2 linked regions of the Coturnix japonica genome follow. The protein of the gene in region 2 interacts with the protein of the main gene of each other region in a pairwise test. Links are inferred from orthologs where the notes say so. Each region holds a gene or a part of one and is shown on either strand. Other genes may lie near its edges.

Region 1 (7,518 bases), on a different chromosome or scaffold from region 2:
CCGCTGCGGAGATGGCCAACATCGCGGTGCAGAGGATCAAGCGGGAGTTCAAGGAGGTGCTGAAGAGCGAGGAGGTCAGAGCCGCTCCCGCCGCGCTCCGCCGCCACCCTCCCCGGCTGCGCGGTGGGAGTGCGGGAGCGGGGGAAGCGGCCGGAGCCCGCGGGGGGCCCAGCCGCCCCTCGGCCCCACCTCCTCGCGCGGGGGGTGGGATCGTCCCGCGGCCTCGAGGAGGGGAGCGGCGATTCCCGAGGAGAAGGGACCCGCCGGGACGGAGGGACAGAGGGGGGTGGCGGAGACCCGGCCCGCTGGGAGCCGGGGGAGCGGGGCCGGCCCGCCGCAGGCCGGGCGGGAAGCCCCCGGTGCGGTGCGGGCCGGGCGGTGCGGGGCGGCGCGCTGCCAGCCGGGCGGGTGGGGCCTGCAGCGGCCTCCTGCCCCGCAGACCGCCCCGCGCGTCCCGCCGCCCGCGCAGCCGGCGCCCGCCGGGCCGGGCGTGACGAAGGGAACCGGGGGGTCCGCCGCTTCCAGCATCACCTTCAGGCACGGCCCTACCGCTGCACGAGCACGGGGTTTTAATACAGTGAATTTTTTTGCAGGTAAACCTGTTTGTCTAGCTTGCTTCATTGCAGGACTAACGTTAACCCTGGTGTAGGTTCTCACCTTCGGTTGGATGGCTTTAGAACCTCCCTCGTTTCTGTGTCCTTACCCAGTCTCCCTCGTTTCCACCTGCATCCTTCTGAAACGATGCGTACCTGAGGGCATGGGCGGTCGGTAAGAATGGCCCGCTGCCCTCAGGAAGGCGCTAAGGAAGTTCCAATCTGTGCAGGGGAATATAGCACCCTTTGCAACATCACGTTGGTATGGCTCTTGCTGTGCTCGTATCTGAGTTGGTGAACATCAGCCAGATAGGATTTAATAGTTGTGTCGTCATCATCGCCCTACTTGGGATGATGTTGCAGGTTAGATGCTTGTGAAATATTAATGGGAGCGTGTAACTCCTAAAGCTGGTGTTCTAGAAATCTGGACATGTTAGTGAGGAAAAGTTGAGGGGATATCTTTAAAATACATTGATGATTTAGGGAAAACGTGCTTAGCATAACAGTAGTTGATGTACTTTAAGTGTGCTAGCACCATTTTGCTGTACAGCTTTTATGAGCCCCTTGAAGTAGTATACAGGCCGGGTTCTTATAGCCTTAGAGCCCAGGTTGATGTACCAAACTCTTGCACAGTGATGGCAGAATTGCATGTAAACTGAGAGAACATTCTTAGTGTGTTTTTTTTTGTACCAAAGCTACCAGGTCTAGACCCTGTGCTCCATGTAACCGCTGATATTTGGAGTCTAATAGCTTCAAGATATTTTCCTTTTGTTTTATTTAGGGCGGAAAAGGGGAGGGGAAGAAAACTTCCCCAGTTTGAGAGGGAGATCCATGCTGATTATTATTATTGTATTTTATTACTGTAAAGGTTGGATCTGGAGATCGCATTTGTCTCAGTTCCCGTTTGTTTAGTCTCTGTGTTGAAGGGCCCAGTGTAGGATGTTGTAAATAAATAATACCATGAAGTGATCTTTAAGCTGAACAAAACTCCCCTGATCCTTACAGAACTAAAGCTACAAGATCTTAAACTTAAAATGCACGACTTTGATATTTTCCCCCTGCCATTAGCTAGCCATGGAGGAGTGTTATATTGATAAAGCAATTCACATGGAGTTGCTGTTTAAGGATATAGTAATTCTCCTGTTGTGAAGACAGAATTTCAGCATTCATCAGCACCTACAGTTTAGACAAGCACAGTGTATTTTGGATGTTTGTATGCTCAAAGACAGTCAGACTGTGGTACCAGTAGCACCACTAATGTGAAAGCACATGCATTGAGATGAGGAATGGAGGATGGTGGTATAACTCAATGTACAAATCAAAGAGGAAAGAATTGTGGTTGGTTGTTTTCCCTGCATTATTTATGTACTGAAATTAGTCTCAAACCTTGGTCCTTTAAAAGGGGGAAAAACAAAACAAAACACAAATGGTGATGCTAAATTTGTTACTTACAAGTTGAAGTCCCTCTCTGAAGGCAAAGTGACTCATGTTATTTGTGCTTTAATTATTCTTCATTTGGTGCTTTGAGCTTCACCTTAGCATGGAGAGCAGCCCCTGTTTCTCTGCAGGTGCAGAGTAGGAGAGCAGGTGCCTGGGGAGGAGTTGGGCACATTTGGGAAGAACACAAGAGGGAGTTTGCTCTCATCTTCAAGTTCTCATCTTGGTACTGAAATAGGTGGGAGAACCAGAAACATTTAAAAGGGAGAAGCTGGATGGTATTTGACTTCTGTGCTTGGAAGCACCAAATTTCACTTTAAATATTGGTGAAGAGGTAATTCTGTGAAGTGTGCTATTCTTCCTGTAGATAAAGTTTAATACTGATATGCCTAAGTATCCTTAGTGCTTTCTGTTTCTGTGACATTGAATAGTATTTCTGGGAAATCACTACAACAGCCTTCAGCCTTGCCTTGCTTTCTGGTTTGCAGGTAGGAGCTGAGGGATTTGTGATGTAGGAGGGGAGGGGCTGACAAGGCTTTTAAAATCTTCTCACACTTCAATATTTTTTGCTTCTTTTTTTTTTTGGTAGCATTTCTGTCTTTTTTAATTGTTTTAATAAGGCCTTGCACGTTGATTTAAGGAATGGGGCGTTGTAGAGATCTTTGCAGCTTTGCACCTTTTGAGTTTATAAATGAGGTACGTGAGACTGACAACAGTTTCCCCATTGAGAGACAGAGGAATTGTCTTCAGAGTAGGAGGAGAGTTGAAATGTTCAGGTTGCTGATGTCCTGCGTATTCAACAAAAGTGAAGCTGCTCATGTAGGTAATAACCTGACTAGTGTAATATAGGTTGGAGGGTACCGTCTTGTTCCTCTATGAAAACTTAAAGTAGTAAACAGTGATTAACTCATGCACTGTTTTGAATCATAGTCTAGGCAAGTTGCACTCTTTCTTTCTTCTGTCATTTCATTAATTTATCTTGTTAGTTTCATGGGTTAGGCTAAATTAAATTCCAAAGTAGCAAAACATGTTCTGAATGAAAGTGTGAAGCTGCAGCTTGATGGAGAAACTAACAATTGGTGGAGGGGGAATAACAGCCCAGTATCTTTCGCTTTGATGGCTGGGAAGAGGCTTTGGTGAAGGTTAGCTGATATTATTCCAGAACAGGGTTATTGGAGTGCTAGCCAGATTCTTACCATCTCTGTCTGTAAGCAGCTGTCTTATGAGGGGAAGGATCTGGTATTTAACAACGAGCGCTGAAAAACATTGTGTTCATTCATGGGCTGGTGCTGACAAGTGGTTTAGTTCATCAGGCACGTCAATGTGTAAATCTTTTTTCTTATTTTACTATAGTATCACATGTGCTTTAAGGAATGGTATTGTGCTGGCAGTGGAGTTGACCATCCAATATCTTCATCATGCAGGAATGTAAGGAGATTTCTGGCCGTCTCTCTGTGAAATGCTGTTAGGAGTGAAATTGCTTCTCTGTGGCATTGAGGATAACACTTCGGTAAACATGGCTTCCTTCTGGCAAGAAAAAAGTTGGTGGTTTTTCTACCACAGAATGTTCCTCTTCCCTGTATCAAAAGGCAGAGGTTTATCTGCATGGAAGGTAAACACAGATAGAGCTACAAATAAATTAAACTCGACTGTAGTTGCAGAATAGGAGTATCTGCAAGAGCAGATATGTGCAGTAGCAGTTAAAATTTGTAACGTGAGTCCCAAACAGTTTTCAAGTGGAAACAGTATGTTGATGGCAAAAATTGAGTTGCATCATTTCCAAGAAGGAAGTCGATATTTGTTCTGGAGTCTGCTATGTGATTTTGTGTTGTAAAAGAGAAGGGAAGAGTAACAATCGCGTGCCATACTGTGTTCCTCCCTAGACTTGCAGTGAGTAGCTGTGCTGTTTGTTTGCTGCTGGTGGTGTTGGGATGCTTGGCAGTTTGTAAGCTGCTAAGTGACATCTTGGTAACTGGAGAGCGGTGAACTGAGGTTCAGAAGAACTTTACTGTATTTGATTTGCTTATCACAGAATCACACAGAATCACAGAATGACCCGGGTTGGAAGGGACCTCAAGGATCATGTAGTTCCAAACCCCCCTGCCTGGCAGGGCCACCAAACATACACCTTTACTAGATCAGGTTGCCCAGGGCCCCGTCCAACCTGGTCTTGAACACCTCCAAGGACGGGGCATCCACAACCTCCCTGGGCAGCCTGTCCAGGGCCTAACCACTCTCCTAATGAAGAACTTCCCCCTAACATCCAACCTAAATCTTCCCTCTTTTAACTTTAAAACCATTACCCCTAGTCCTGCTATATCAGCCCTTTCGAAGAGTTTACTCCCCTCCTGGGAGTAAGTTCCCTTCAGGTACTGAAAGGCTGCAATGAGGTCACCCCGCAACCTTCTCTTCTCCAGGCTGAACAAACCCAACTCCCTCAGCCTGTCCTCATAGGGGAGGTGCTCCAGCCCCCTGATCATCTTCATCTTATACTTGAGCAGTCTTGGGTACTAGAAACTGAATTCACTAAAATGGAAGCTTTTACTAGTAATTGTGCTTCGGTGTCATTAGAAAGGCCTGATGGATACTGTGGATGTGTGGTGGTTTTTTTCTTACCATTTATTATGTAGGAGCAATGCAGATGTATAAAGATGAAATGTCTTCTATTATGACTCCTGAGTCAGCAACGTAATATTTAAACAATGCCAACTTTCTGCTCAGGCAGATATTTAAGTCTTGATTCATGAGAATTGGTCTATTGAGGTCAAGTGTAGGTTTAGTAAGTGCGGAGTGTGAGTGGAGCTAGAGTGGGCCTAGTTAATTAAAAAGAAGCGTAAAAATGAGAACTTCTACAATGAAGTTGTCGTGTTGGTACAAATCTTTGGTGTGCCTCTCAGAAACCTTGCATATGGCCTCAGACTTGGGGGGGAGGGAGGCAGCAGTGTGTCAAGTACAGGCTGCTTTGCAGAGGGCTGTGTGGAGACTGGAGAAATTAATGAACTGACAGGAGCTTTGTGAAGTTAACTGTTAAGTGCCAAGTCCTGAATCTGAGAAGTAACACTGTACATCAATACGTGTATGCTCTGGGGACTGACTGGAGACAAAGCAAGTTGGCAGAAAAAGACCTGTGGCAAAGAGGGCCAACTGCACACTGGGTTGTTTTTAGCATGAATGCAGAGAGGGGTGAGGAAGTGGTTCTTCACTTTCCCATGCACTTCTGAGACCATATCTGGAGTGCTGTGCCCTGTTCTGGGAAATCCATTAATACACCAAAGTGAGTCCAGTAGAATGCCATAAGGGAGATTAAGGGACGGGACTATGTGATGTGAGAGAGGGGCAGAAAGGTGGCCACTTAAACCCACCACAGGTACTTGACTCCAGAGGAGAATCAAACATTTCGGTGGCGCACAGGGGTAGGATGAGAAACAACAGGTAAAAGCTGGAACATGATAAATTATGACTGGAACCTGGGGAAAAAAAATGGCGTTACAGTTGTCTCATTGAACTGATTGAATGGAGAGACTGTGGATTCCCCATCCTTGATGATATTCAGAAACTCAGTGAGACAAGTTCTTGAGCAGCCTACTTTTGTTGGACCTGCTTTGAGCTGGAGGTAGGACTAGATGCCCACCAAATGTCTCTTCCTGCATCGTTTTTTTTGTCTCTAGTATAAGGTTCTTTTAAATTAGTGCTGTGGTTGTGTTTTCTTTTTTGTGAAAGAAAATGCCAGGGTCCCCACAACACCCTTCTCTCCAAATTGAAAGTGTATGGATTTGATGGGTTGACTGCTCAATGGATGAGGAACTGGTTGCAAGTTTGTACCCAGGGAGTGGTGGTCAGTGGCACAGTGTCTGGATAAGGATCAGTGACTAGTGATGCCCCTCAGGGCTCAGTGCTGTTTAGTGTTTTCATTGGTGACATCAACAGTGGGATCAAGTACCCCTCAATAAGTTTAAACTAATATGAGTTAATACATTTTTTATGGTAAGGGTAGCGGAGCACTACCAGGTTGCCCAGAGAGGTGGTTGATGCCTTGACCCCGAAGTCATCCAGAGTCTGGATGGGGTTCTGAGCAACCTGACTGAGCTGTAGGCACCTCTGTTTGTTGCAGGGGAGTTGTTCTGGGTGACCATTAAGAATTCTTTCCAACTCAAAATGGTCTATGACTGTATTACTGTCTCCAGACCTGATAAAATATTTTCTCTGTGAACAAATCAGAGGTTTTGAAGTAGCATTTTTCTCTTTATCTGGGAAGTTTCTGCTGTTGTAAGATGATAACGAATCCTCTGTCCACAAATTAGAGACTAGTTCTTCCGGTAGGTGCCAAGTTGATTAAATCTTATTAGGCTGAATGAGTTCTGGGTTGAATCATGAAGGTAGAATGGATATGAAATCCATAATTCTTCTAAAAGTTCTGTTTATTTGAAATGTGAGGATCTTCACTTGAAGATGGCTATTTGTGGTATCATTTATACCTTGCTGGAAAGAATTCCACTGTGTATTTTAAGCTCTGCCTATTACAACAGGCAAGGGTTAGAGCTTTTTTTTCCTCAGTAATTAGAGGTTACCAAAAAGTATAACTGGAATGCCATTACTGTGCACCTTTTGGTTTTCTTAATTCTCTGTGGTGTGTTTGGTCATGTCTTCCAGTTTGTACTAGAAAATCACAGAATCATGTAACTTGGAAAAGGCCTTCAAAGTGATCAGCCTCAACTACCAACCTGACCCACTGTTACACCGTGTCCCTCGGGCAGAATAACTCGAGATGAATCTCTACATCTCAGCCTTTAAAGGATTTGGTCCATAAGCTGCTGCTTCTTGTTATTTAAAGAGTAATTTGCTCAAAACAAAACGCGTTTTCTAGGGCATTTCATGAGAACTTCTTACTACTTTCACTTTTCAGTGATCTTCCTCAACTATTGGTTTACTTGGTTTGCTACACCTGGAATACAATTGAACTTCTTAAAAAGTATTGTGTAGATACTGATGAACACTAGTGTTATTCATAGCACTGCTCAAATCTACCATTCAGGGTACTCAGTGCACAGCGCTAGTGATCATTTGACCAGACCTGTGAGTTGGCCATGTATTGTTAATAGTACTTCTGCAGGGAAGGCAAGTTCTGTTACTTGTTCCCCTTGTTCAGTTAATAGCGTTTTTGTTGTTAATGTGTATCTGAGATTTCTAGTGAACACTATTCATTTTGGAAGAATCCCAAAGATGCTGGAAGGTAGTAGAAAGCAGGAAAACCTTGGTAACCACTGAAGTCAGGCTCGTTTGATTGTCTTTCGTTATCTTTTAAAATCCTGAGGCAATGTACAGTTGTATGTTACAGGACTGGGTTAGTAAGCTTAGGATTTGCAGTTAAGCTGCAGCTACTACTGGGCGCTGCCTTCTGACCACAACCAAATGGACCCCTCATGGTAGAAATCAGCCAGTTATTTAACCTTCCCAGTCTCCCATTCATTCTTCTGTGCTTATTTCTAGG
Region 2 (6,789 bases):
GGTCTTCAAGAGAAGGGATGCGGTTGTAGCAAGCCAGATTTATGCCTGCTGTGGAACTGCGCTAATTCAGTCTTTCCACATAGTTGCCAAAGTTAGGGAACCAGATTTCTGGGATACTTGTAGATGTTTCCAAGGAAAGCTTCAGTTGCTATCCCACAGCCTCTTAGATTTGCATGATGGCACTGCCCAGGCTATCTAGTCAAAAAGACACAGCCAACTTACACTGCTACTGTGGGGGGGAGGAGAAAAACAGCAACTTTCCAACCAGATTCATCATGTGATGACAGTGAGGAAAGACTACTAGAGGCACAGAAGGGGAAGAGTGTTTCTCTGAAATAAAAACACTGAAATAAAAACCTGAAAATACACTTCTAGCGCAAAAGCAAAGGCAAGACAAAAAACAAAACCAGCCAACCAGCAACAATCTTGCAAAGTGAAATTTTGTTTCAGACAATAAGTTCTACTCACCATTAAAGGGGTTGATTTTCTTAGAGATTCGCAAAGAAATCGATTCTTTCAGGTCTTTCTTCTTCACACACTGAATTCCCAAATTCTGAAAACTGAAGTACACATGATAGGATTTCAGCAAGTAATAGAATAGTGTAGAATACTAGACAAATCATGTGCTGAGCAATACTGTGATAACGTGTGGCTTAAGAAATTTAAAAAGTGCTTCCTTTGACAGAAGTGTTAACAGGTCTGACAGTAAGGATATACTTTTCCTAAAATAAGAGCAGAAAATTTAAGGACTACTAAAATGCAGTTCTAAAGAGGAATAAATACATCTGTATTAAAAATAGTTAAACCTGCAGTAAACCCACAGAGACTAAAAATTAAAATACAGTCAGTCTCAGGTCATTGAAAGTGAAAAGTATTTAAAGCAAACCTTATTGTTTGCATCAGTTAAGAATTTGTGCTCCTGCTTTTATCAGGGAATGTAAATCTTGAACACTATTTTTAAGGCTTTTGATACAAATAAAAGCACTTTCTGAAATCTCATGTAGCTACAGAAAAGTTCTCAAGAGCTTCAGCTCTTCTTTATTTGCATATGAGTATAGGTCACCCCAATGCAGAAGGCGGGGGGAGTCCCAGGCAAGCTGACTGTTTCCCACATGGAAAAACCATGACATCAGAGCTGAGTGGATGTAAAACAGGAAGTTAAAAAATAAAAACATTTCTAAAAATTCATGTTTCACAATGTTACAGTAAGCTCAGAAGATAAACCACGGCAATAGGCTCTGCCTATCCTGCTCCAGAACCAGCAACATCCCTTCCTTTGAAACAAAACAAAAGTTCTTTAGTTATGCCTAAAAATCAACTTGATCCACCTTCCTGCCACAACTCTTAAGAGCAGTGCTACGTTTCCCTGCTCTGAACAAGACTACCCAAGTTTAATTCCCCTAAAGCACCTTGCTCGTGCCCAACACAGTCCGTTCAGTGATTACCAAAATCACTGCAATCAGAATCCTCTTCCAGAGCTTTCACTTACTGGAAGAACGCACAAGCTTCCCTCTGAACTTGACACAGTGACTCAAAAATGAAAATGAAACACAATCAGCATGTCATAGCTCAGTAAATCGCTTGGGTTTCATATATGACTACTGACAATGTTGATTTGTATTTCACAATTCTTTTTGTATATTCTACTCTTTTAGGGCTTGATGACAGCACACAACTCAGCTCTTCTTTCCTAAATATGCACTTTATTCTGCTAATTCAGTTTGAACCATACTTCAAGTCCACAAACAGGCCTGGTTCCATGTTACAGCCCAAAACTGCCACATGAATAGGCCCAGACTCTCCGGCAATTCACCTGAAGTCACAGACATCAGCTGAGGATGCATATAGAACTAGCCTCACAAAAGCTGAATCCAGCTCTGCAAGGACCAAGAACCTTTATACTGTTTGCTTCAAGCACTGTGAATTAAACCACCTGGGCAAAGAAACTAGACTTTTAAGCACCCCTAACTTTCAGATTATAAATGTTTTCTAAAACATGAACTGCAGCAGTGCAAGTGTCTATTTAACAACTGTCAAACAGAGGACAGGATCAGAGAAGAAACAATCAAGGACCTCAGGAAGCCTGCAGGGTTTCACATAAACACTTGCTGACTGGAAGCAAGCAAGATAACAAGAAGAGAGGGAGAAATAGGAAGAGAAAAAAAAGAAAGGGGAAAAAAAACCAGAACAAAAAACATTTAAAAAAAAAAAAAAGGACCAAACATTAAAACTATGATATCATCCATGTAGAGAGCACGAGAACTATGAAGTAAAAATCTCAGTATGCAGGCAATCACTTGAGCTCCAACGCTGATACTTTTGCTTTGATGTTTGGGACAGAGGGAGCTCTGATCAAGTTCAGGCAGCAGCACAAAGAGCATCAGTCAACAAGCAATACAGGAGGTTTTGTTCAACTAGGATTACACAGGGAACTTAAATAGAAGGCAGCCCAAAATCTGGGTAATTCCAGTTACACAAAATAATTGGGATTTTTTTTTCCTTTGATTGAGATGCCTAGAAAGAGTAAAGAGCTAGAACCACTACCTGCTCACTTGTATTGTATGATGTTCTTCTCTAACGCAGACTCAAAGAGAATGTGAAGACTGATTCACCAGCCACAAGAACGAAAATGACTTGAAACATCCAGATCCAATTATGGATCACGTTGTTCCTTCATCTTACAGCAACCAGTGACTTGTTTTAAAAAAAAAAAACAACGAAGGGTACCAAATGCTAAAAGCAATTCAAAAAGAGCCTCTTCCCATCAGGATCTTCTCTTTCAAGCTGAACTGAAGCTCACCACAGCACTATGTCAAATAAAATGACTTGATACGTGCATATAACAGACATGAAATAAATACAAATTTGCAAAGCAGCTCAGTACTTCTGGCATTACAACCTATAGCTCGTAAAATTCAGGATCTCTGAGGGCTTAAAATGCGCAACAAAGTACCAAGAGGAAAAACAATCATCAGGGTCCTTCTTTCCCCAGTAGATATAATACATAGCCAGAAAAGGTGTTAAGCAATTAGGCTTTATTGCTTTAGATCAGAAGCCACTGAGATGAGAACTCGAAGTAGGATGGGCTAGAACAGCAGGCACTGTTTGAACCTGGGTAAGGAAGCATGATTTGAGAAAGCATGGAGGAAGGTAGTGAATGAATGGTCAGACGAAGGCGAAAGGTCTCCTAACAGTTTAAGACACCTATGATGGCCATGTAGACAAGATGAACTCTTTGCAGGGAGGCCAATGAGGATGATGTTACAATATTCAAAATGCAAGGTAAGTATCTGAAGAGACAGTTCTATCTTTCTCTTATGGTGGAAAAAAATAAATAGGAAAACAGCATTAACTACCATTTACCAGCTAGGAGAAGGTTGAGAACAATGCTAAAAACAAGCAAAAAGAAAACCCGTGTCAGATGTCAGCTGAATGTATCTACTATACGTTCATGATCACTTGAGCCTGAGCTGTACACTGTAGAAGTATCTCCACTATTAAAACAGTTTATTCCACCATCAGACAATTATTATCATTAAACAAACTGTGTGTCTTCAGTTCTCTCCTTTAATACTATTCTACTGACTAAACCCACATAAATACAAAGTAATAAGTAATAAATACAAAATCCTAATATCCTCCTGAACAGCACTGAGAAACATGTTTTATACAACGCCTTAATTCCTCTTTACTACTTCCATGAATAGGTCATTCCCCGGCATACTTGTTCTACACAGCGAGGCTGAGTAGAAACTGTATTTTCACTGAAAAGAAAAAGACACCACCAGAAAAAAATAACCCACCAAGAAAACCCACTTAGCAAACAGAAACAGCAGTGACAATCGCCAACACATTTCTAAACAGGTGACAATCATCAACATCATCTCAACAACATGATATTCAGTGTAAAATTTCTCCTCCCGTTTCCACAAAGTCCAAATACAGTTTCTGTGAAAGACGTGAATTACGTGAGTCTCAGGAAGCATTAATTTGAGTGTTGTCATTAACAATCCTATTAGTCATTATTTTCGTACACTGAATGTAGGAGAGATCATCAAGCTCAAGAAGTGCTAATGAACAGGACTAAAGAAGCAAGTGGAAGAAAGGAAATGGAGACTGACATATGGAGACTGACATATGGAGAGTGAAGACAGGAGAAGAGCAGAACAGAAAAGGAGTGTGTGAAACACTGAAAAAGGAACTAGCTCAAGGAAACCTTTGGACTTATCTCCCAGATGGATTAGTATGCTGCCTTTGCTGAAGCTTACTAACTGCCCTCTTAATTTTAGACATAAGATCAGAATATCGCTTGCACGATTAATCAAATTGCTGAACACCACCACTACTTACGACAGGACTCGCCGTTCGGGCCCAAACTCTGCTTCATAGTAGCCATCTCTGCAGTCTTTTCCGACTAGATCATGAGGGTGTGGCTTGTAGGGTTCATTCTTCGTTACCAATGTAGTTCTAATTTTGACTTTTCCAAAATAGTTCAGAATCTACAAGAATAAGAGAGATTTTCTCAACTTCAGATATCAGGACTAGCAAAGTCCAAGCACATAACAGAAAATACATTTAATCCTAAAATACTGTACGGAAGAAACACCACAAGTAAGGAATTGTAATATTGCCTCATAAAAGAAAAGCCAAGACCATTTCAGTTCTTCATTGGAAATTAAAACAGCTTGTAATGTTGTAAGACCAAAAGAGGACGTATTTCACACCAAGTGTTACAACGTGAGATGCAAAATTCTACCTAGGCAACTGTACACAAATGTTTATTTAAAGAGCGTTCCAGCTCCAAAGATGTTTAGGAAAAAGCTCCTAGAACCTCAGGGATAATCCCTGTGAATGGAACACAAAGGAGGCAGTGAGGATCTCATAAAATACAGCATGACATAAGCCCCTGCCAAGCCTTTCTCTTTAATCTGAAGATGAGTACCCAGTTTCACATTCAGTAAGAGGGGCACTGCGTTCTCCAGCCCCACTAGCGCCTTCAAAGAAGTCAGGCTCTGTGCACATCTCTCAGGCACTCAAGTCTTCCTTCATACTGACAACTATCAGTGAAGCCAGCAAGGTTTGAGTGGGAGTCTAAAAAACAGTTTGACCTAAGATGTTTGAAGTATAACAACTTGAAAACGCTTGCAAGGCTTGCACCAGCACAGGTTGTACAAAGGTGTGGTCTCCACCTCCACTTCCTTCATCCTGTAACTGTTCTTCTTCCTTCAGCCCTTTCTTACCTCTTCCAAGATACTCCATGGATCCATCACACGCTTCTCAATCAGCACCTCAACCTTTCACTTGACTTATGCTCTAACTTCCATCATCTCTCAGTTTCTTCAGTTTCCAATCCAGCTGTCAGTATTCATACACACTACTTACCCTTAAATAAAACTCCAACCGCTCTTTCAGCTTCTTAAATACTGCATTATTTCTCCCTCATTATATACCTAGCCCCTTAAATGTGAAGACCCCTAGCAGCAAATCAACACCAAAGCCTCGTACAGGCTCCAGGGAGGCAGGAATTCACCCAGAAATCACCTACTATCAGCTCTGTTATCAATGGTCATGGTTAAAAAAAGAAGAAACTATGCCAGGACTGCATAGTTACCTACTGAGTCCCACCTTCCCTTCAAGTTCTGGATGATGCTCCTGTGCATTATGGTCAAGGATGAGAGGAATCAAGGGCTCATACCACCCCGTCATCTTCTGTCAAAGTATTTATTTCTGCCAGCACATATACAAACCTTGCCAGATTGCTTTTTCAGCACTTTACCAATTGAACAAAGAACTACTTCCTACATTCCTGATTCAACTCTGGCACTATAAACACAAAAAAAGGGTCTTTCTTGTTTGCTTTTCCCTTAGGTATTCTGGCTTCAGAGGAAGATCAGCTTTCACAGCAGCACTGTTGCTTTATCTTAGTAGAAGCTCTCTATGCTGCTCAACACGTAACTGCCAATACTACCTTTCTCAACTCTCCCACTTCTCAAGGAATTTTTATGTCTCAGTCTAAAGCATTTCATTTTTCAGATTTCACATCTTCTGTACCTATTCTTTTATCTCTGTGATTCCAGATACTCCATTCTTGGTCCACTTTGTCTTTTAAATATTGCACTGTAAAAATATATATCAAGATGGCAAGTACTCGTTACCTTCCATTCACGTATTAGTTTCTACTATAATCTCATCTCTGAAGGATCTTCTCCAGACTGAAGGTAACCAAGGAAATATTACCAACCTAAACATCAAATAGGAAAACAGAAATTCTTCTCCTTCACCCAACCTGTCTAGCATCTCTTACATTCCTCAGTTCTGCATATGAAAGAAAACAACAGCCAAAATCCATACTGTCCATATGTTCAGCCCTGCTTTGATCAAAGATTAGTATGAACCCCTTAATTCTGGATTTCCCAACCTAACCATAACACAGTCATCCAACTAGTTTTCATTGCAGGTGCTCTCACCATTTATTTCCTCTTTCTCAAATCCTTTTAAAATTCTGTATCCCTTCTGATTTCACACACTTCACAGTGGTTTCTTTTGCAGAGCCTAATCACTGAATCATCTGCTGCAAGTCACTTTCTCGCTTTGCTCATTTGTACAAAGTGTTTCTTCCCACTTTACACCCAGCACCTAGACTGGCCTTTTCACATCTTGTAAGCAGACAACTTCCTTCAAAACTCTCCCAAAATTCACATTACAATCAAAATAGTAAAAACAAGCCCAAATCACATCACTAAGGAACTAGAACAAACGTAAATGCAGAAAGAGTTAATAACTCAATGA

The links. The genes of interacting proteins can lie anywhere in the genome.
Region 1: the proteins of REL (region 2) and UBE2K interact in binary tests that used the Homo sapiens proteins (3 or more experiments, as listed by UniProt). The two-hybrid records come from large-scale screens. The link is inferred for Coturnix japonica from reciprocal best matches to the Homo sapiens genes REL and UBE2K.

Annotation. Positions count from the first base shown.
Region 1 is NC_029519.1:62,493,948-62,501,465, reverse strand, and holds the start of UBE2K (ubiquitin-conjugating enzyme E2 K), read left to right. Parts: upstream 1-3,482; 5' UTR 3,483-3,489; coding exon 3,490-3,642; intron 3,643-7,518. UniProt on the Homo sapiens protein: Accepts ubiquitin from the E1 complex and catalyzes its covalent attachment to other proteins. In vitro, in the presence or in the absence of BRCA1-BARD1 E3 ubiquitin-protein ligase complex, catalyzes the synthesis of 'Lys-48'-linked polyubiquitin chains.
Region 2 is NC_029518.1:5,499,003-5,505,791, forward strand, and holds part of REL (proto-oncogene c-Rel), read right to left. Parts: intron 4,500-6,789; coding exon 4,351-4,499; intron 561-4,350; coding exon 469-560; intron 1-468. UniProt on the Homo sapiens protein: Proto-oncogene that may play a role in differentiation and lymphopoiesis.